3 linked regions of the Xenopus tropicalis genome follow. The protein of the gene in region 3 purifies or fractionates together with the protein of the main gene of each other region. This does not show direct contact. Links are inferred from orthologs where the notes say so. Each region holds a gene or a part of one and is shown on either strand. Other genes may lie near its edges.

Region 1 (7,975 bases), on a different chromosome or scaffold from region 3:
GTAGGTTTAATGTGTTTTTTTCTTCTTGAGACATTGTAACCTTTATTGCAGATTATTTTTCTGTAACAATGCTGGGCAGTTATTTTTTTTTTCCATTGAAAAAGCTTTGTAGCAGTTTATCAATTGAAGTACTAATTTGTAAGTGGCTTGTAACATGCTTTTAATTAAGGTTTATTTTTTTTGGGGGGGGGGGACAGTATTGGCTTCTAAAGGAAACTTTTTTTCCCCCTGAGCTGAGTGTGAAACTTTATACTACTGCACATCTGCAAGTCTGACAAGGGACACCTCAGATATATTTTAGTATGGTGCAGTGAATCTTGGGTTGTGCTGGGTCAGCTGTACTGCCATAAATAGTCATTTTTGAAAAAGAAATGGTATTCTAGGAAAAAGGGTGTTTTGGGGTAAATTCAATTGATTTTAAGTGAAACCAGTTTTTGATCCACATTTTAAATAAAAATGGTATTTGTGCTTATTCTCTTGTATAAGCACAAATAATTTGCCTGTTTTTAATATGTAAGCTACCAAGCAGCTATACCTTTGAGGGTTTCTAATGAACTGTTTATGAATATTTTCTAAAGCTCTTTATTAGAAAAGGCACAATTTACTGTTGATTTATACAAAGAAGTACAGCTTTGTTGCTATGGCAATTTTAACTCCCATCACGTCAAGAAAGTGGGAGAATAGAATTTAAAAAAAACTAGTGATATTTATGGAAATAGGAGTTTTTTCCCTTCTTAACTCTAAGTATATTTGATTTACTGGCAAAATCAATAAAATGTGTTTAGTAAGAAACAGAGGTATAGCATTTAGCAAGTGTTTTTTTTAACTGCCAATGTTTAGATATATGCTTACATAAATGTTAGATTTCAGTGAAATAGGGCCCCTTGTAGGAATTAACATTAACAATGTCTGGTTACCTGATGGTTATATAAATTAATTTGCTGTTGCTATTTGCCTGTGAAATGCAATAAAATGTGTAAAATATATTTGCCTTACAAATGCAAGTTGGTCATTTGAATTACTAAAACTTTGATACAAATGGCTTAAAATAAAAGACTGGTACATTGCCATAGATCTTTTATGATATTGTGGTTACTGTATCACTGTCCCCATAATGCTGACATCCCTGAGCATTTTATCAAATTGTGTGGTAATTTGGCTACTGAGGACACTGTTCCATCTGACTTGATAATATTTGACTTTTGCTTTTGTATAGGGACATGTGTGTGAACTCTTGCATAAAATACCAGTAAAGGTTAAGATAGATAGAATTCTTTCTGCAGAATATATAGCCTATACAGTTATGAGATTTAATGCAGAAACCTGTTATCTAGAAAAATCTGATATACACACAAGCTATTTTCCAGAATATATATATTCTTAGAAAGATATCCCATGTCTGGGGAAACCCAAGGTCCAAGCATTCCAGATGATACGTGCTATACCCATGTCATGGGAAAACATGTTTTGTTTTTTTCCCAAAATGCAAAAATAGAGCTTCTCCTGCAGAATCCTGCATTGAAATCCATTTTACAAAAACACAAACCCTTTTTTTAATATTTAATTTTGAAATTTCACATGAGGCTAGCCATGTTCTTTATTTTATATTTTAATAGTGGTAGATATCAGAATAGCACTCAGTACAGGTATGGGATTCATTAACCCGGAAACACGTTATCCAGAAAGTTCTGAATTATGGAAAGGCCATAGACTCCATTTTAATCAAATAATTCACATTTTTAAAAATGATTTCCTTTTTCTCTGTAATAACAGTACCTTGTTCTTGTTCTCAACTAAGATATAATTAGTCCTTATTGGAGCCAATAATTGGGTTTAATTACTGTTTAAATTTATTAGCAGACTTAAGGTAGGAGATCAGAATTAATCAAAGACCCCTTATCCGGAAAACACCAAGTCCCAAGCATTGTGGATAATGGGTCCCATACCTGTAAATGAAGAGGAGCGCACTGTCATGCAGATTCACTGCTTTGAAAAAACTTTTCAGACTACTGTTCACAACATGCCTCTGGCTGTTTAATGCACACTTTTTTTTAAAAAAATTTCTTTAGTAGACTTAAGGTATGGAGATCCAAATTACAGAAAGATTCATAATTTGTAAAACCCCAGGTCCCAAGTTCTGCCTAACAGGTCCCATGCCTGTAGTAAATAAAAGAGACTCCTCCAGTTACATGGGAGTAATAGAAACAATAGGTTATCTGAAAGCAGTTCTAATGTGTAGTGCTGGCTCCTTCTGAAAGCTTAGACTCGGGCACAATGCACTAAGATGGCAGTGAATGTAATTTAAAAATAAATACACCATAAAAATCATGACAGAATCCCGTTAACATTTAGGCACTATGTTGCTGTCAGAGAGGAAAGAGGCAGCCATGGTGCACTGCCCCTCATGCAGACACATTCTATTCTTATGCTTTTGCCTGTGGCAACTGTTATCATTATCATCCAGGGATCAAAATTTGTTATAATATTTGATCTACTAAGCATTCTTCAGGATTCCCCAGATCATCTTTTTGTAAATCGGCTGCTAAGTATTTGCTGTGTAACCCCATAACGGGTTTAAAGGGTATCATTTGTAGCAGCTTCAAAATCGCAGATCTAAAGCAGCAATAGAAATGTATTTTTCCACTGCCGTTATGAGTTTCAGGGCATTCATGAGCGATAGGATTGTTTACCGCACAACATTTCGTTGCATAATTACATTTTTGATTTGGTAAATATTTTATTTTAGCCAAATATAAAGTTTCCATGTTTTTCATACACATATTATGGAGCATCTCTTATGTTTCATTTTAGTACTTACTGTAGGTGCTTTTTATAACGAACTGTTGCACAAATAGATTGCCTTTAGCAAAGACGTTTTCCAAATAAAAATGCCAAAATTCATTGGAAATAAAAAAAAAAAAATAACTATTACAGAGTTTGTGGGATATCTAATGCTGTATAGCTTGACTTATAATGTATGGTAGAAACAGTGGCCAATAATTAATTGTGCTTGCTTTGTATTTCAGTTCTGCCTATGACAATGTAAACAAAGTACGAGTTGCTATCAAGAAAATCAGCCCATTTGAGCATCAGACATACTGCCAGAGAACACTGAGGGAGATCAAAATCTTGCTGCGTTTTAAGCATGAAAACATCATTGGAATTAATGACATAATTCGAGCTCCAACCATTGAGCAAATGAAAGATGTGTATCCTTGCTGTTAAAATTGTTTATCTGTTTTTCTTTTCAAAAGTAGATTTCAGAGAAAAATGTGATTTGTTTCTTTCAGTTTTTCTTTCTTTAATTTTTCACACTCCATCATTGTTGCCTTACATTAAACATTCCAGGTATATTGTGCAGGATCTCATGGAGACAGATCTCTATAAACTCCTGAAGACTCAGCATCTTAGCAATGACCACATCTGCTATTTCTTGTACCAGATCCTGAGAGGATTAAAGTACATCCATTCAGCCAATGTTCTACATCGTGATCTTAAGCCTTCAAATTTGCTGCTTAACACTACCTGTGATCTTAAGGTCAGTGCAGATTGGTAATTATAATAGTTAATGTCCTTTAAAGAGAACTTAGAGCTGTAATGCAAAAAAAACAAACAAAAAAAAAAAAAAAACACAGTCCTTACCCTTAAACCTCAATACCCTTTTGAGTGCAACTACAAGCTTACTCGTATGAGTGATTCCATCCTATTCCTTAAACCCTGCAGGCATCAGGACTCTTCTAAACATGGGCTAAAGTTTTTGCTAGTTGTTGGGTAGTTGTGCAACTAAGGCAATAGTACTTCCCCCCCCCCCGAGGCTTTGGCTTGTACTAGTGTGTTCAGTGTCCATTGCTAGGCACTAAGCCCTGTTTCTGAACTGGTACTGGAGCCAATGTAAACCAGTTTTGCATTACATGGGACTGGCAGGTGGTCCCTTACAGAATCACAAAAAAAAAAGCGCAAATATAGGCTTTTTAACTATTCTATAGTATACGAAATGTTTCTACAAACTCATAGGTACACTCATGTGTACGCTATTAATGTGATAAGTTGGAACTTTGTATCTTCCAGATTTGTGATTTTGGATTGGCTCGTGTTGCAGACCCAGACCATGATCACACTGGATTTCTCACAGAATATGTAGCCACTCGCTGGTACAGAGCTCCTGAGATCATGCTGAATTCCAAGGTAAAAAAATGACTGCATGTATAGATAGACTGATAGGTGCATGTAATTTTCTTGTAATTCAAAATGTAAATATGCTTTGGCCTCACAGTTAATTTAAGACTTAAATTTCTATAATTCTATATTAAACATTAGAGATTTTTATAGATTATGGAGCACATAAAGGGGTTGTTTTGCTTCTAAAATTAACATAAGGTGTGTGACAGACGGGGAGATTAGTCTGCGCGCGACAAATCTCCCCGAAATGCCATCCCTCCAGCGAGAATGTAAATCGCCAGTGGGATGTCATCTGCAAAATTCCCATTTAGGTAACAGTCATCACAACATGGTCACCTTTGAGATTGTTTCAGAAACACCTGTATATAAGTGATACAAGTTAGATTCAAATGTTGGCATGTCATCTCTGCAACTTATTACTAAGATACTTTTCATAAGAAATGTCTGACAGCACTGGACTTGAATATATTGCACATCACATTCTATTCATTTGTGGCAGCCCAGATTGATGAACAATAAAGCCTGCCAAATGTAAAACCTTGATCTACCAGTAAACTCAAAATCCTGTGAGTGCTGGTATCTTTTTGCACAAAATAACAAATTATTGGGGGGGGGGGGGGGTGTAAACAATGCAGAAAAATGCCCCTCTAATCAAATTCTATCACTACTGTGGTTGCACTGTCTGACTCCCGACAAAGGTCCCTGTGGGGGGATCAAAATGTTGAGCAAATAAATCCGTGGAAGACTGATTCAGCAAATTATGTGAGTGCCATTCTTCTGTATTGTTTGTTGTTTCTCAGTTCAGGCACGAAGAAAGGAATTGTTTATGGTATGTACCGTACATGTTATATCTCAGTGTGTATGAAAAAAAAATGACATAACCTTTATGAAAAAGAATAATCTGCTATAGACTGTTATAGACCACTGTTAGCACGGTGGTTTAGTGACTAAAAAAACGTTGCTTGTTTTCAGGGCTATACCAAATCGATTGACATCTGGTCTGTTGGCTGCATTCTTGCTGAGATGCTTTCTAATAGACCCATATTTCCTGGAAAACATTATCTTGACCAACTCAATCACATACTTGGTAAGGTCTAAAGTCATCTATTGTTAAGTATATAAATTTGTATTTATTATTTCTGTATCTTAGTGTCTTAAAGGGGACCTGTCACCCTAAGAAATAATTCCAATTTCTTTTCTTTTGTGTTTGTTAAGCAAACTTAACTTTACATACTATATAAATGATAAAAAATCTTGTTTCCTTCAGTCTTGGAAATATACAATCACAGCCAGCAGGCAGCTGCCATTTTATGGGCACTGTTAAGGCAAGCTTTGTATCATCCCAAGATCTTGTATATGTGCCAGAATGGGGGACCTGATGCCCAGGCCCATGCACTGGCTACACAATTAGATGGTGAGAAGGTATGGGAATGTGAATGCTGAATGGAAAGTTTAAGTAACTGTCTGCCCCACCTCTATGTCTGAGGCATAGAGGCAGGACAAGAAGTATATGATTGACAGCTGGGATTTTTAAATGCATTTATAATGGGTTTGAATGTGTTAATATAAAAATGAATTTTGGTTTCATGTTTAATTTGAAAAGGACTTTTATTATACAGCTTTTTATGTCTGGGTGACAGGTCCACTTTAAGTGTATTTGTGTGGATGGGAAAGAAGAGCCTATCAAATTTCTCTGAACTGTAGGTACAAGCTTTAAAAGTTTAGAAACCAGGGTGTTGGCTTCCTATAATATTAACAGAAAGGCAAACAATTAACTACTGCACTCAGTATTTAGAGATACAGTAATTATGTTTCATTATTATTTAATGCTTTGTAAAACATGCTCATTATGAACAACAATTTTGACAAATATCTATTGATCTGTTAACCTTGTTCTCCTATGCCTGTCTCAGGCGCACATCGTGCTTCTCCTAAGCTTCTGCTGAGCAAGCCATCTGCCTGGCTTGCACACTTCTTGCTCGAATGTAGGACTTAAGATGGGCTACATGGGCAGGTTTAAGCTTCCGATTCGGGCCCTTCAGGTTGATTTTGGCAAATTATCTGCCAGTGTATGAGGCCCTTCGACATGGCCCTACCCTGCCAATATCTTGCTGAAAATTGGGGAGGTTTGAATCGAGGACTTCATTGACTTGTTGATTCGACCACTCCAATGCTTGTATTCCTGTCATTATGGTCTGATCATTTGGCCCTAGGTTCAGCCCAATATCGGTCACCTCGGTTAGGCATATCGGGAAAGAATCTCCCCGATAGAGGTTCCCAGTATGTATAAAAAGGTGATGTAAGTTGAGAGTTTTTAGCCCTAGTTGTGCCTTATTCATTGTGGTCTCCTCAGCAAATGAAGCTACTTCTATATTCTAGAATTCCAAGCAGTGCAACAGCCATTGGTACAGCGAACCTCCTTCCCCAGCTAGGTGTGTGTGTGGATTAGGTTTGGATGTGCCACAACGGCAGCTTGCTTGATTCATTAGGAAGGCACCAAAACCAGCTGGCCGTGAGACAGTACTGATCTTCACATGGGACATAGCATTGCTTTTGACATAGTACCCTTTTGGCAGTTTACTTTCCAGAATCCAGAAAAAGTGGGCAGTCTTTCTTAGCTGTTAAACTGTAGGTGAGTAGGTTCTCAGTCAACATGCTTTTGACTCCCTAGTTCAGCAGAAGCTGCCAGAACTTTTTGGTGGCAGCTCGGAATCCTCTGTTTATGAGAATAGATGCTGTGGTCATTTCATAATTGTTCTGATTTTCATATGCACCAGAGGTTACCTCTTTAGATTAGAGGAACAGAACTTTGGAACAGAGTAGGAAATTTTTCATGGCGAGGGCAGTGCGGTTGTGGAATACCCTGCTGAGTGAATTTATGATGGCAGATTCTGTTAAAGGGGACAAATACTATACATTTTTACAATGCACTCAACCATGTAAAATAATGTCAAATAGAAGTAAGTGCGTTTATTTTAATACCTTTTGGTTCAAATATGCCCATAACTGCTTGAAAACTGTGCTCTACCCAGTCCTTTTGCAAGCTTCCGGTTTAGACTCTTCAGTATGTGGCTGGGGCCCTGATAGACTTCAGTAACAGAGCAGCAGCTACTTAAAGTGCAGTGAATATGCATAGGGTGGGCAGGGCTTTGCAATGTCACAGGCAGTCTGTTCCTGCTCCAGCTATATAGTTTATAGCTACGTGCGTATATACGTGCATAGATCGGTATAAAGTGTGTGTATATATGTGCAGAGGGGTTCAACTTGATGGACTTTGGTCTTTGTCTTTTTTTCTCCAACCCAATCCGTAATCTATATAAACATGGTTCCATTTATTCCATTGCTTGCGAGGGTCAATGAGACCATAAAGAACAGCAGTAGGTTATCATTATAGGCACTGACTCCTGCTTGGTAAAATTTATAGCAACACTGATATTGTATTGCGGTCCACCTTTATTGGACAGTATTGTATTGCAGACCACTTTTTGGCACCCAGCTTAAAAGGAGTCTAGCTTTCATAAATATAATATATTAGAAGCAACGAGGGGTTCTATGACCATATAAAGGCACAAGGATAAAGGTCATTTAGGTCATGGACCTCTGACTTGACCCTCATATTAAAGAAGGGGTATATTTTATCATGTTTCATGCAGTCACGTGACACAAATTGCATTAGTAAGCACTTGTTATAACTGATTACATTACTAACAACCATTTCTAAGAATATAATTTACATGATTTTCATGGTTGCTGTGTCTTATAATTGTATGTTTAAGTTAACTGTTCCGTATTTTTC
Region 2 (7,975 bases), on a different chromosome or scaffold from region 3:
TTTCTTGTAATGGTATTGTAAATACAATAGGAGCTGTGTGGGAGTTGATATGAAGTTTGTGGCTACCCTGCACTGAGTTGTTGCTGGGCCAGTTGTACTTTCACAGAAAATGGTTATTATTGATATTCAAAAAAAAATAAATAAAAAATAGGTGAATGTATGGCTGGGCAGGGTGCAACCCCCATAAGGGTGCATAATATTGCAGATGTTCAAGGACTTTTTTTCTTTGGCATTTAATAAAAACATAATTAAACTTTGCTGTAGAGCCATAAAATCATTGCTTTTGCTTCATAGCTTTTTTTTTTTTTTTTAACTTTTCGTTTGGTATTAATGTGTACTTTTAATTCTAGATACTATATACGATGAAGATGAGGTTCTTTTGGCACTCGCAGAACAACTGGGAAGCTTCACTAGCCTTGTTGGTGGTTCAGAATTTGTTCATTGTCTTCTAGTAAGTACTTTTTTTTCATGATTACGATCTGTTAAAACTAATTTGCTAAAGGGACATTCATGAGCTGTTGTGAAATTGTGAAGCTGTGAATCTTGAAAAGGAATAAATGCGTGCTTGTAGCATTTAGGCCCCTTTTACAGGTAGCAGAAACACACCACCTGCGTGGAGAGTAACTGTCTTGAATGCATACTGCCTGTTACTTTAAGTGATGGTGCATATATAGTGTGTACTGTAATAAGTAGATCGCAGTCAAGACAGCTGCTCCACTTATCAGGCAGAACCACTGGCATGATCAGCTCCAGTAAATAGTTTGTGTTCTTACCCCCGCTTCTTACAATTTCCTCCTTTATTCCATAAAATGGGCAGGCAGGTTAATTACCTCCAGATATGTAATATAGATTGACTCTAGTGTTTAAATGTAAGGGGGAATTAGATTGTAAATTCCACTTGGACAGTGACTTTTTGAATAATCTGTCTTTGTAAAGTTTGTTCAAGCAGCTATCATTCCCAAGAAATATATTGCATTACTTTTTTTGTGAGTTTCTGGATTGCTATTTAAATAGTCCGTTTACTTTTAGAGTCCAAAATTTTTTTGGCCTGCAAAATAAATGAGCATTTAAACTTGGCCTGATTCTTTTTTTGGTTGTTTGCATTCATTATACAAATACTGTATGTAGTTCACTAATGCTTGCTGTGAAGAGTGTCTCTAGTGTAACATTTATAGTGAAATGCAAGGTTAGCATTTTAAGGTATATTTTCCCTTCATTGTAGCAGGCTGCCTGTACATATATCATGGACACTGAAATGTACCTCCAAGGGTGAATTTCATGCCTTTTATATGTCTTTTTTTGCAATCCACCCAAGATCAATTTCTGCTGATTCCCAAATTGTTTCATGACATTTGCCTGAAACTCAGTGCCTGATCAAAACAACTTTCAACTGTTAAAATCGCATGACTTTAGACCATATGACAACAGACAGTTCGTTTTTCTTAGTATTTTTTCCTCCCATTGCCTCAATGTTCTATTGGGTTGAAATATCTGTGTCTTCATTTGCAGCCTGTGAATTGTGTTGTAAGTACTCTAGGGGCAGCGATTTCCCGAAATCCAGAAAACCCCAGGTCCTTAGCATTCTGGATAACAGGTCCCCTACCTTTAGTAGCTTCCATGAGCATTTTTAAGCAGATCTGTCATTGCTACATGTTCTTCAGGCACTGTTTCTCATAGATTACTATGGAAATTAGTGACTGGCTTTTTGAAACGTTTTTTGACGGTTGCTGCTTTCTACCTGATCCAAATACCTCGTATCCCGTTAGCCGTAAGTCTGTGGGAGAAACGTGTGGGTGGGAATGAGCCAACTAACAGCCTAGTAGAGCCAAATTTTAAAATGCTATTTGGATACCTAGTAGTGGCCTGCACTAGTCTTTTCAGTGGCCAGCACAACACCCGAGATTCTGTAGAAAAACTAATATATTATGGGGTTGTCCTTCCTAAATTAACTTTTAGTATGACACAGATAGTGATATTCTGAGACAATTTGCATTTTTTTTTTCATTTGTATTTTATTTAGCTATTTGTTCAGCAGCTCTTAGTTTGACATTTTAGTAACTGGTTGCTAGGTTCTTGTTTACCAGGGGGTGGTTTTAATGAGAGACTGCAATATGAATAGGAGAGGGAAAGGTTTTTGGCTGTCTGGATCAGTGACCGCCATTTGACAGCTGGAAAAATGTAGAATAGGAAGGCGATAATATTTACAGGTTTAAAATAATGAAGACCAGTTGGAGAGTTGCTAGGAGTAGGACATTATTAATGTAAGGGTGAACCACCCCTTTAACATCGTAAAACTGTTAATTTTCATATTAAGGTAAATTGTATAAGTGCCCAAAAGCAATTTGATGGGTATTTTCTGTGAGGTTTAGTAGCACTTTCATTGATGGCTTTTCCCTGGGGAAAAGAAATTTCTTAATAGCTGTGGCCCACATGATCTGATTTCCATTAACTGCTGTAGGGCACTTCCTGCACATTTGAGTGCAGATGAGAGGAGGAGCTTGCTTTGATAAAAACACCTGTATGCTACAGGCCTCCACTTTATCTAACTGTTTGCACAGATTCATACTATTTTATGTGTGTGTAAAACAAAAAGACAGATGGAACTTATACTGCTATACCCCAATGTGTTATCAATTTCATAAACGTACATAAAAGTTGCTCTGTAGACGAGCTTTGTCCTCTGTTGGCTTCAGCTACAAAGTCGCATCTGGCTCCCCACTTCCCTGCCAATCTACTTTGTGCGTCAGCAAGTAAAGCTGCCAGGATCTTAGATCTCTTGTGAGCCTATTCTGCCTTCTGGAACAATCGCCTTGCAAGTGCTGCTGCTGCTGAGACATTAGGTGCCATCTGGGGGGCCCTGCTTCCTTGGCGCCTTTCCCAATTGTGAGCTCAGTTTGGCAGCCATTAAATATTTTTCTCCACGTCACCAGCCCAGTTAAAGCTAATTTATGTGGGTTGATAGCAGATGTTGCTGCATAAACTTGAATAAAACAGGCAGGCCCAGGTGGCAATATACACACATTAAGCTTACATTATTGAATTTAAGGTAATCGGTGATAGGGTCTTGTGCACATTCTAGCAAAGGGGCTCAAAAGTCCTTTAATTCCAAAACTGAGAACTCATGCTATATTGAGTACTGCCCCCCCCCCCCCCCCCCCCACTCCAGTATTCGGCTTAATTCATATTCAAAATAATCCCACCAGTGAGAATTCTACTGAGAGAGAGAGAGAGAGAGAGAGAGAAGACAATTCACGAGTAAGAATGACCCAATGCTGGTAATGAGCAGTCATTTTGCTGTTATCTTATAAAAAAGCAAAACGTTACATCATAGTATATTAGACTGTAATGAGACATGGGGATATAGGACATACTTGTTCAGTGCTGTGAAAACTCTGCTTAAACCTTCCAGCTCCAGTTGCTGGAACAAAGAGCTTGGAGACAGATATGGTGCCCTTTGAGAATTTTTACTTTGGCGTAAACAGTATGGTAGTTCCCACAAATGTTTGTAACAAAATTGCAAAAATGTACTCTAGAAGAGGCAAACAATACAGTTTATCATGCTGTGAGTTAATGTACCCCATATAAACTTGACATATACAATCTAACTGCTAATATTCTAAACTGGAGAGATGCAGAACAAAAAAGTAAATTTAATATTTACAAATACACTTTAAACAGACCAGCTGCAAATTATTTACATTATATTGAAAGTTAATTCCTTTAAAGACTTCACTGCAAATCATTGTCAATTTGTACGTTTTAGTTAACATGCTCATAATGAATGATATACACACATTAAAATGTGCTGTAAATGAAGTATATGAATTGCTTTGGGGTATCCAGAAGGCATTCTTTAGCTGAAGCTCTTTTAAATTTGTTTACTTTATTTCTGCATAGCCCCCTTTGGAAAGCCTGGCAACTGTTGAAGAAACAGTAGTTCGTGACAAAGCAGTGGAATCCTTAAGGAAGATCTCCAATGAACATTCTCCTGTTGATCTTGAAGCGCACTTTGTGCCACTGGTTAAACGTCTGGCCAGTGGGGATTGGTTCACTTCTCGTACATCTGCTTGTGGCCTTTTCAGTGTGTGTTATCCCAGGGTGTCTAGTACAGTTAAAGCAGAAATAAGGCAGTAAGTATCCTGCTGAGTGGATGTTGGTTTTGCAATGCAGTTCTAAGCAGCAACCTGAAGTATATGTTGCTTTTTCTCTCTTCCTTACCCACCCCCCATTATATATATATATATATATATATATATTTTTCTGTTTAATTTATAGGCATTTTCGCAATCTGTGTTCAGATGACACTCCTATGGTGCGTCGTGCAGCTGCATCCAAACTAGGAGAGTTTGCCAAAGTCCTTGAGCTTGAGTATGTGAAGAATGATCTCATTCCACTGTTTACCAATCTGGCTTCAGATGAACAGGTGAGCAGGAAGTCCAAGAATGCTGATTTTAAATATTTTCTTTTAGAATAATTATCTTGTAATAGGTCCCCCATTGTAGACGATAGCTAGCTATTCATTGCATATAAACATTGTGTACATACATGGGGCAGTAGTAGTTCTGGTGACTATTTACTGTTTAATCAATAACAAAAAAAACCCTATGTTTTGCTTTGGGGGAAAATCTAGATGTTTTGTTTTGTATTGCACAGGACTCTGTGCGTCTCTTGGCAGTGGAAGCATGTGTAAGTATTGCTCAGTTACTGCCTGAAGAAGATCTGGAAGCACTTGTGATGCCAACTTTACGTCAAGCCACAGAGGACAAATCGTGGCGTGTCCGCTACATGGTTGCAGACAAGTTTTCTGAGGCAAGGCTATTTATCTCTCAATTCCTACATTTATTTTTAAGTTTGCCATTTACTACCCAGGAATGCTATTAATTGGTGGTATATTTATATATTTTTTATGTTTCATTTAGCTTCCATGGCTTGTTTCCCTACTTTTATTATAAATAGTTTTAAATATTTGAAATTGAGTCAGGATTAGCTACCCTTTTTATAAAACTTAGGTCACTGATTTGAGACTTCTTGGATTCTTATTAACCTTTGTCATCCCAATTTGGTCAGGCCCCTCTATAGCTCAGAACGATCCTGCCATAGTTCAGGTAACTAGAACTGCAATATGAAATTAAGGCAAGCCTGCTCCATAACTTTTGTCCAGAAAACTTTCATTCCTGTTTGCATTGCTGGAAGATTTAGTGATTAACTTAACAGATATCTTAGTGACTACATGGGTAACATAACTGTTCTCTTTTCAGCTCCAGAAAGCTGTTGGTCCAGAGATCACTAAAAATGACCTTGTCCCAGCTTTTCAGAACTTACTCAAAGATTGCGAAGCTGAAGTGCGGGCAGCTGCTGCTCATAAAGTTAAAGGTGAATGGATATGGATTAACTGCAGTATAATGTTTTACTTCTGCTTTTTATTTTACTTTAATTTGCAAATGTATTTTATGGCAAAATCTGGTACAAATGAAATTCTGTGAGCCAAGAGGGGAATGCATATGATTTAGCAGCATTGGACATTTGGCTTGCGTGTTTTAACTCACGAGTGGTGCATTGAAGTGTAATTAATCACTGATTTTTTGGCTTAGCCACTAAAGATAATAAGTTGATACATGGCTGTTTAAATATTATCAAAATAATCTACTCTTGTATATACCACTTCACCTAGTTTTGTTTAAATAGCCATAACAGTATTTTGTATTTCTGACAGAACTTCTCATAGAATGAGTGCTTTTAGGCAAAACTAGATAGATGAATGCCTATAAGTGGTGATTATTGGACCAAAGTGTTCAGTTGACCATGAATCAGCCATGAGTTAGGAATGTGTTTTTTTTCTTTTTATTAATAAGAATCTTTTATGTTTTAGAGTTCTGTGAAAATTTGCCAGCCGATGGAAGAGAGACCATTATAATGAATCATATCTTACCTTATGTTAAGGTACGTTTTGCCAAAATGAAGATGACTGAAGTTTGCTGCATTTTAAAGGGTTGTTTTCATTGTTATCTGATCTTTTTCGCTGCTTATCCAAATCATAGTGAGTTTAAATGCTCATTTGGATTGATGTCTGCAGTCTTGCGTTACACACGGCTTACAGGGTGTTCTTATAGTGGATCAGTTCTTTGTGTTGAAATCTGATGCCCTTAACATCCCCTCAGAGAATGGTGCCCATATTAATACTCAGATGTTTTTTGCAGACTTTTGCCTCTGGCATCTTGAGGAAGAGTTGTCAAGAGCCTGATATGCCATTACTAGATGTTTTGGCCTTATGTTTTTTAGGCTTTTCAGGTGGTGGCTGTTTTAAGATCTGTGATGTCAGATATTTGGTGTTTTTTCTTGCCTTACAACCTGGTAACGAAACCATCCCCCTGCATTGTCAAGGGGAGGTCACGTAAAAACACCAGGTTAAAAGCCTGTGTAAAATAATTCTCTTGCAATTGACATCTATAACCAATAACCATGTGGAAGGCAAAGGCAGTTTTAGGCATTTTTATGCTGTGTATTATGGCAGGAGGGTGGTTAAGCACCCTTCAAGAATTGCCCAGGATGCCATAGGCTCTGTTATGGCATGGCATGCAGGGCAGTACTACGATGCTATCATTTAACAAGGACTGCTAATGCATTTAAAGAGAAGGAATGGTATTTTGGCATTTTACTACCAATAGATTAGCCACATTAGGGAAAACTAGAATTGCTATATTTAATCTGCAGAAAGCTTTACTATACCTGAGTAAACCTATCTAGAAACTACCTCTGTTTGCTTAAGAAAGCAGGTGCCATTTTAGCTCAGTCTCTGTAGCTTCCAAGGGCAGCTCTAGTTGCTGGTAGCTCAGATCACACATTCTGATGGGTGGTGGAATGAATTCTTATGGGAAGGGGGAGCAGGAGAGAGCTGCGCAGACTCCAGCCCTGGAATGAAGGGTTTTTCTGAAAAAGGAAAACTGATCTGTGAGTGCTTATGGCTGTATTTACATAGACTTTTCTGATGAAGCTTACTTAGTTTTTCGTTTTCCTTTGAACAAGCCTTGGTTTATCATTTTACAAGAAAGAGTTGACTATGCCTAGCTCAGTGTCCTATTATGAGCTTCATTCTGGCACTATTTCATCTCAGTACCTCTCATCATCCATGTAAATTATATGTTTAATAACACCTTTCTTTGTTTTACCACAGTCTTTGTAATGTTTTGTAGGAATTGGTTTCTGACACAAACCAGCATGTGAAATCTGCCTTGGCCTCTGTAATCATGGGATTATCCACAATTTTAGGCAAAGATAATACAATTGAACACCTCCTGCCTCTCTTCCTGGCCCAATTAAAAGATGAGGTAATGTCGGGCAAACTGCTTCATGAATTTATTGAAAAATGATCCATATAAACTTCCCTTCCCTTCATTGTGTTTAGAGATCATGTGTGACAATAAGTTAGGATACTTTATTGTAACTAATAAACTGCATTTATTTTGGTGTATTAGCCAAGATGAAGTTTTAGGCAAAATTGTTTATCCATGTAATGTACATTTTTAAATTTTTTTTTTTTTTTTTTTTTTTTTTTTTTTCATTATCCTTTCTCTTTTTTAGTGCCCAGAAGTGCGCCTAAATATTATATCTAACTTGGACTGTGTGAATGAAGTGATTGGAATCCGCCAACTTTCTCAGTCCCTCCTTCCAGCTATAGTAGAGTTGGCTGAGGATACAAAGTGGAGAGTGCGGCTGGCAATCATTGAGTATATGCCATTACTTGCTGGTCAGCTGGTAAGTTTTCACTTCTTAGTTTCACAAACTGTATATATACAGATCATTTGTAACCTTAAGATAATCTATATAGGAAAGATATATTATTTACATCATCCGGCCAGCCCGGTTGGGGTTAACCTTTTTGTTCACTTGCACAGACCCTCTGCTTTCTGGAGAAACTATGTACCAACCACAGTGGAAATAAGAATTTAGGGGCTTTTGATTTGTTGAAGGTGACTGT
Region 3 (6,981 bases):
TAACGTGTTTGGCTTTATTATGCCTTAGTAATACAGGGTCCCTTATCCAGAAACCCCTTATCCAGAAAGCCATTTGCCATAGACTCTGTTATAAGCTAATAATTCTAATTTTTTAAAATAATTTCCTTTTTCTCTGTAATAATAAAACAGTACCTGTACTTGATCCCAACTAAGATATAATTACCCCTTATTGGGGGCAGAACAGCCCTATTGGGTTTATTTAATGGTTAAATGATTCCCTTTTCTCTGTAATAATAAAACAGTACCTGTACTTGATCCCAACTAAGATATAATTACCCCTTATTGGGGCAGAACAGCCCTATTGGGTTTATTTCATGGTTAAATGATTCCCTTTTCTCTGTAATAATAAAACAGTACCTGTACTTGATCCCAACTAAGATATAATTACCCCTTATTGGGGCAGAACAGCCCTATTGGGTTTATTTCATGGTTAAATGATTCCCTTTTCTCTGTAATAATAAAACAGTACCTGTACTTGATCCCAACTAAGATATAATTACCCCTTATTGGGGCAGAACAGCCCTATTGGGTTTATTTAATGGTTAAATGATTCCCTTTTCTCTGTAATAATAAAACAGTACCTGTACTTGATCCCAACTAAGATATAATTACCCCTTATTGGGGGCAGAACAGCCCTATTGGGTTTATTTCATGGTTAAATGATTCCCTTTTCTCTGTAATAATAAAACAGTACCTGTACTTGATCCCAACTAAGGATCCCCGGTGCTGTTCCACCGACTCCCAGGGACCAATGGCTGTTTGGCTCCCAGAGGCTGACCTGTTATCAGTAGTATAATGTTACTGAATATAAAGCCGCAGTAGTAGGAACCGGGGGTGCGTAGGTGTTTAGTCCCCTTACTTCCAGCTCCTATGGAATTTGCAGGATTCATGGGAGATGAGTAAGTTGTGACTCACGAATTAACAAATGTCTGAGTAATTATTGCAGCCCTGTGTCCTGCAGCTTGTCCCCAACTCACATACATCCTGGCGTCCATTCTGTGCCCCACAATGCACTGCTGCCCCTGCATCCATGCGCTTAATGCAGAACCCCAGTACCATGGAAACTATAGAAACGCAGATAAAGGACAACTGTGTACTTGGAAAGTAAATTAGGATTATTGTGTGCCCAGAACATTCCCTCTCTGTATATTTGTATTTATACATATGGGTAGGAGGTGCCATAGTGTTTCCCTTAGACAGTACAGTATGGGGGTACAGCTTATTGTGTGCCCAGAACATTCCTTCTCTGTATATTTGTATTTATACATATGGGTAGGAGGTGCCATAGTGTTTCCCTTAGACAGTACAGTATGGGGGTACAGCTTATTGTGTGCCCAGAACATTCCTTCTCTGTATATTTGTATTTATACATATGGGTAGGAGGTGCCATAGTGGTGCATCACCATTAATAAGACCCCCCCATCCCTTTCAGGTGTGCTGATCGCTTGCTATTTGATATTTGCCACCCGTATGACGGCAGACCAGGCCATCCTGTTGGTGCGTGCCAGGCGGCACAATGCCATCCAGACCCGGGTGCAGTTGCTGTGCATCAGAGAATTCTCCCAGTTCCTGGCTCCATTACACAACGTATTCGCCTGCTCGGACCCCAAGGCTCACGCCGTCACTCTGAACCAGTACTTAATCCGACAGCAGCACTTGCTCCATGGCTACGAAGCCCGCCATCTGAAATACGTGCCAAAAATGGTCCATCTGGTCTGTAAGTTGCTGCTGGACCTGGCAGAGAACAGGCAAGTGTTGGAGGAGGAGATTTTGGACGGACCGGACCTGACGGCAGAGATAGAGAAAGCAGTGTCCCAGCTCCCGGCGGTGCCGCTGGATACAGTGTTAGGGGGCGCCATGTCGGGGGCTGATCCATTAACCCTTTCCGTAAGCCCCACGGCCGGTTTAACCCTTCACGACTCAGTGTTATCCAGTGAGCAGGAATTCGATCCGCTGTGGAAGCGTCGGAATGTCGAGTTCCTCCAGCCCCTGTCCCACCTGAAGAAGCGGCTGAGCTACAGCGACTCGGACCTAAAGAAGGCGGAGCTGCTCCTGGAGCAGGGGGAGACCCCGTGGACCGAGCCGGCCCAGATGCCCTTTGTTGCGCACGTTTTGGTAAAGCATTGCTTTGTGCCCGGCGGTGACGACTCGGATCACCCTTCGCCTTTGCCTAAAAAACAGCCCCCGGCGCACAATACGTTTTCTTTTTGGACTCAAAGCAAACTGGGCACCCCTGAACCCCAAAGGGAAGGGTCCCCACTTTTCCTCAAAAGGAAGCCCCCCAGGGAGATGCAGAGGAGTCGCACCTTCTCATTGGGGTATTCCTGCTTGTTAAACAGCAACCAGACACCGCTACTGGCAAACGCAGAGCCCACCCTGCCCGCTGGCAATGACTGCCCCTGTGCCACGGGCCCCGAAACTGCCCACGACGCTGCCCCCAAAGCCACGTTTTATCTGGGGAATGGAACCCAAGAGGAGAGAGAGGCGTCTCCGTGCGTCCCCCATATTGTGCTGCAGTCGGAGACGAACCTCGAATCCCGGCGGCTGCAGGCGGCAAAAGCCCTTGCGCAACAACCGCCGGAAAGTGAGGATGAGATAGCGAAGAAAGTGGCAGTTTGGCAGGTAACGTTTCCATCTGATTCATTCAGGGACACCAACATACCAATGCCAGGAGATTGGCTCCACCCACGTTGTGCCAAACAGCTATAGGGCTACACCCTGATTTTAATAGTGCCCCTCATAAGAGGTGGGGCCAACAGCTTCCCAAAAACCTTATCACTTTACTTCTATGTCTCCTCCCCCTGCTCCTCTGTATCTTTGTGCCTCTCTAGCTCCTCCCCCTGCTCCTCTGTATCTCTGTGCCCTCTGGCTCCTCCCCCTGCTCCTCTGTATCTCTGTGCCCTCTGGCTCCTCCCCCTGCTCCTCTGTATCTCTGTGCCTCTCTAGCTCCTCCCCCTGCTCCTCTGTATCTCTGTGCCCTCTGGCTCCTCCCCCTGCTCCTCTGTATCTCTGTGCTCTTTGTGGCTCCTCCCCCTGCTCCTCTGTATCTCTGTGCCTCTCTAGCTCCTCCCCCTGCTCCTCTGTATCTCTGTGCCCTCTGGCTCCTCCCCCTGCTCCTCTGTATCTCTGTGCCCTCTGGCTCCTCCCCCTGCTCCTCTGTATCTCTGTGCCCTCTGGCTCCTCCCCCTGCTCCTCTGTATCTCTGTGCCTCTCTAGCTCCTCCCCCTGCTCCTCTGTATCTCTGTGCCCTCTGGCTCCTCCCCCTGCTCCTCTGTATCTCTGTGCCTCTCTAGCTCCTCCCCTGCTCCTCTGTATCTCTGTGCCCTCTGGCTCCTCCCCCTGCTCCTCTGTATCTCTGTGCCTCTCTAGCTCCTCCCCCTGCTCCTCTTTATCTCTGTGCCTCTCTAGCTCCTCCCCCTGCTCCTCTGTATCTCTGTGGCTCTCTGGCTTCTCCCCCTGCTCCTCTGTATCTCTGTGCTCTATGTGGCTCCACCCCCTGCTCCTCTGTATCTCTGTGCCTCTCTGGCTTCTCCCCCTGCTCCTCTGTATCTCTGTGCCCTCTGGCTCCTCCCCCTGCTCCTCTGTATCTCTGTGCTTCTCTGTCTCCTCCCTCTACTACTCTGTATCTCTGTGCTCTATGTGGCTCCACCCCCTGCTCCTCTGTATCTCTGTGCCCTCTGGCTCCTCCCCCTGCTCCTCTGTATCTCTGTGCCCTCTGGCTCCTCCCCCTGCTCCTCTGTATCTCTGTGCCTCTCTGGCTCCTCCCCCTGCTCCTCTGTATCTCTGTGCCCTCTGGCTCCTCCCCTGCTCCTCTGTATCTCTGTGCCTCTCTGGCTTCTCCCCCTGCTCCTCTGTATCTCTGTGCTCTATGTGGCTCCTCCCCCTGCTCCTCTGTATCTCTGTGCCTCTCTGGCTTCTCCCCCTGCTCCTCTGTATCTCTGTGCTCTATGTGGCTCCACCCCCTGCTCCTCTGTATTTCTGTGCCTCTCTGGCTTCTCCCCCTGCTCCTCTGTATCTCTGTGCTCTATGTGGCTCCACCCCCTGCTCCTCTGTATCTCTGTGCCTCTCTGGCTTCTCCCCCTGCTCCTCTGTATCTCTGTGCCCTCTGGCTCCTCCCCCTGCTCCTCTGTATCTCTGTGCTTCTCTGTCTCCTCCCTCTACTACTCTGTATCTCTGTGCTCTATGTGGCTCCACCCCCTGCTCCTCTGTATCTCTGTGCCCTCTGGCTCCTCCCCCTGCTCCTCTGTATCTCTGTGCCCTCTGGCTCCTCCCCCTGCTCCTCTGTATCTCTGTGCCCTCTGGCTCCTCCCCCTGCTCCTCTATATTTTTGTGCCCCCATGACTGGGACAGAGGGGGTGGTTGGGGCAGATTTGGCAGGATATAAGGAAGGGAGATCCCCTATTTATTGTAATGGAGACCAATAGTGGCTTAGGGGACATTTGGGTGGGGGGCAGTTGCACTAAATGGTTCCGGTACCGACCCGCCCGTGGGTTCCGTTACATTTGTGCATCTTTATGTTTATTAGAAAGAGTTAAACTCCCGGGAATCGGCCTGGGATAGAATCTGCTCGGAGAGAGACCCCTTGGTGCTGTGCGGCCTGATGTGGGCCTGGCTGGATCAGCTCAAAGAACCGGTCATCACAAAGGAGGATATTGACCTGCTAACGGGCTGTGACCCAAACACTGCCCTCTGCCTGCTGGAGAAGGTATTGCCACCACTTCCCCAAATATTCTGGGTTTTACCCTCTGCTGCATTTTATGGGGCAGTTGTGGCACCTTGTGGGTAGGGTTGGCACCTTTACTGCCCAGGGTGGGGGGGCTGCCTGTCATGTTGGGGTGCGGTTGTGATGTAAGGGGGGCAGGAAATAGAGAGCAAGGTGGGTTAGAAAGGGAGCGAGGGGGTGGGACAGGGCAGAGGGCAAGTTATTTCATACCAACAAGGTGGCAGCCCTACTTGTGGGGGGTTGTTTATATAATAAGCCCCACAAGGGGCAGTTACCTGGGGTTCTGAAGGCCCTGAGGGCTGTTGTTGTGCCACATTGTCCTGGAGCCCAAGGTCATAAGCATTTGGGTTTCTCACAGTCTTGAGAATGACCCCCCAGAATAGTATAAGGGCAGGACATGAGGGGGTAGTAAGGGCTGAACAACCCCAAATGCCCCAGGGCACCAAACTCCTTTACCCTGTGAGAAGCTTTATACCCAATACTTTCCATCTGTTCCTGTTTGGCCCAGACACCCCTGAAGCTTAAGCTCAGAAAAGGGTGGAGCTTAGTAGAAAGTAGGTGGGGTTTAGGTGCAGTAAAGTAGAATGGGGTTCTGGCTCCTTATGCTGAAAAGGGTGGAGCTTAGTAGAAAGTAGGTGGGGTTTAGGTGCAGTAAAGTAGAATGGGGTTCTGGCTCCTTATGCTGAAAAGGGTGGAGCTTAGTAGAAAGTAGGTGGGGTTTAGGTGCAGTAAAGTAGAAGGAGGGGGCAGATTTTTCCATCATCCCCCACTGACTTGCCCTTTGTTTATTGCTTCCCCAGAGCCAACACCAAACCCTCCTGTGTGTCCTGCACTGTGTGAGTCGCCTGCAGCCAATCCCTAACCAGTTACTGGGGGACCTACTGGCCAGGGCCGCCCGAGCTTTCACCAAGGTAATTGCCCCTCTATCAGCCCTTAGACTGTAAGCTCTGCGGGACAGGGACTGCCTTCCTTTCCAAAGTATATTGATGATAATTCTGCTTATTTCCCCCCAGGTGACGGCGGATTCCGAGGACGCCCCAGTTGTATATGGCACCCTCATTCCCATCTTCAGGGGCGCACTGTCCGACCTGCGCAAATAGGGGGCAAATAGGGGCGCACTGTCCGACCTGCGCAAATAGGGGGCAAATAGGGGCGCACTGTCCGACCTGCGCAAATAGGGGGCAAATAGGGGCGCACTGTCCGACCTGCGCAAATAGGGGGCAAATAGGGGCGCACTGTCCGACCTGCGCAAATAGGGGGCAAATAGGGGCGCACTGTCCGACCTGCGCAAATAGGGGGCAAATAGGGGCGCACTGTCCGACCTGCGCAAATAGGGGGCAAATAGGGGCGCACTGTCCGACCTGCGCAAATAGGGGCGCACTGTCCGACCTGCGCAAATAGGGGGCAAATAGGGGCGCACTGTCCGACCTGCGCAAATAGGGGGCAAATAGGGGCGCACTGTCCGACCTGCGCAAATAGGGGCGCACTGTCCGACCTGCGCAAATAGGGGGCAAACCCAACGCAGAATTCCCCATTTCCCCCCTTTTTGCCAGTTCCTATCTCTGCTCATTGGCAGTTCCCGTGGGTCGGCTCCGTGGTACAAAGGGCTCAATCTACTGTGTTCGGTTCCGTTACATGTCGTGTTGTGTATAATTGTGAGATATTGTCCCACATGTCCCCCCTCCCTGTGTATCCGGTGACTGGTTATTATTTGTATTTAACGATACCGGAAATACCGTCTTTATTTATTTTATGACAGAGGGGACAATGTGGCGCTGACCCGCTGCTTAATGTCCCAAATATTGCACTGTGACATTTTATTCTATTTGTATTGGCTGAATATCAGTCCGTTTGTACAGAGTCGGAACCTTTCTCTTGCAGAAAAACAGATTAAGCACCCCCCCCCCCCCATTCATTATATACTGTCGCCTCCTACAGGAGAATAGTGGGTATTACAGTCTGGAAAAGGCAGAAATAACAATTAGCCCCTTACAGGGAATATTTCCCCAAATAATAATTCTAAGCAACTCCCCAATATCCATTCATTCCTCATTCCCTTCTCTGCACTGCTGGTTCTGACTCCTGATACAACTCCCCAATACCCATTCATTCCTCATTCTCACTGGGTTTATAGTTATGTGTAACTGTCACTGTGTCTGTCCCTTTCCCTTCCCTGCACTGCTGGTTCTGACTCCTGATACAACTCCCCAATACCCATTCATTCCTCATTCTCACTG

What was found. The genes of interacting proteins can lie anywhere in the genome.
Region 1: the proteins of ptpdc1 (region 3) and mapk1 purify together in Homo sapiens (affinity purification with mass spectrometry; 3 studies listed by BioGRID and IntAct, with this or other methods). This does not show direct contact. The link is inferred for Xenopus tropicalis from reciprocal best matches to the Homo sapiens genes PTPDC1 and MAPK1.
Region 2: the proteins of ptpdc1 (region 3) and ppp2r1b purify together in Homo sapiens (affinity purification with mass spectrometry; 3 studies listed by BioGRID and IntAct, counting the BioPlex papers as one, with this or other methods). This does not show direct contact. The link is inferred for Xenopus tropicalis from reciprocal best matches to the Homo sapiens genes PTPDC1 and PPP2R1B.

Annotation. Positions count from the first base shown.
Region 1 is NC_030677.2:154,030,182-154,038,156, forward strand, and holds part of mapk1 (mitogen-activated protein kinase 1), read left to right. Parts: intron 1-3,026; coding exon 3,027-3,209; intron 3,210-3,348; coding exon 3,349-3,538; intron 3,539-4,068; coding exon 4,069-4,185; intron 4,186-5,151; coding exon 5,152-5,266; intron 5,267-7,975. UniProt on the Homo sapiens protein: Serine/threonine kinase which acts as an essential component of the MAP kinase signal transduction pathway. MAPK1/ERK2 and MAPK3/ERK1 are the 2 MAPKs which play an important role in the MAPK/ERK cascade.
Region 2 is NC_030683.2:84,346,242-84,354,216, reverse strand, and holds part of ppp2r1b (serine/threonine-protein phosphatase 2A 65 kDa regulatory subunit A beta isoform), read left to right. Parts: intron 1-350; coding exon 351-451; intron 452-3,897; coding exon 3,898-4,130; intron 4,131-4,275; coding exon 4,276-4,423; intron 4,424-4,653; coding exon 4,654-4,809; intron 4,810-5,258; coding exon 5,259-5,373; intron 5,374-5,869; coding exon 5,870-5,940; intron 5,941-7,190; coding exon 7,191-7,325; intron 7,326-7,578; coding exon 7,579-7,752; intron 7,753-7,975. UniProt on the Homo sapiens protein: The PR65 subunit of protein phosphatase 2A serves as a scaffolding molecule to coordinate the assembly of the catalytic subunit and a variable regulatory B subunit.
Region 3 is NC_030680.2:152,392,986-152,399,966, forward strand, and holds the end of ptpdc1 (protein tyrosine phosphatase domain-containing protein 1), read left to right. Parts: intron 1-1,453; coding exon 1,454-2,643; intron 2,644-4,546; coding exon 4,547-4,726; intron 4,727-5,544; coding exon 5,545-5,655; intron 5,656-5,757; coding exon 5,758-5,844; 3' UTR 5,845-6,615; downstream 6,616-6,981. UniProt on the Homo sapiens protein: May play roles in cilia formation and/or maintenance.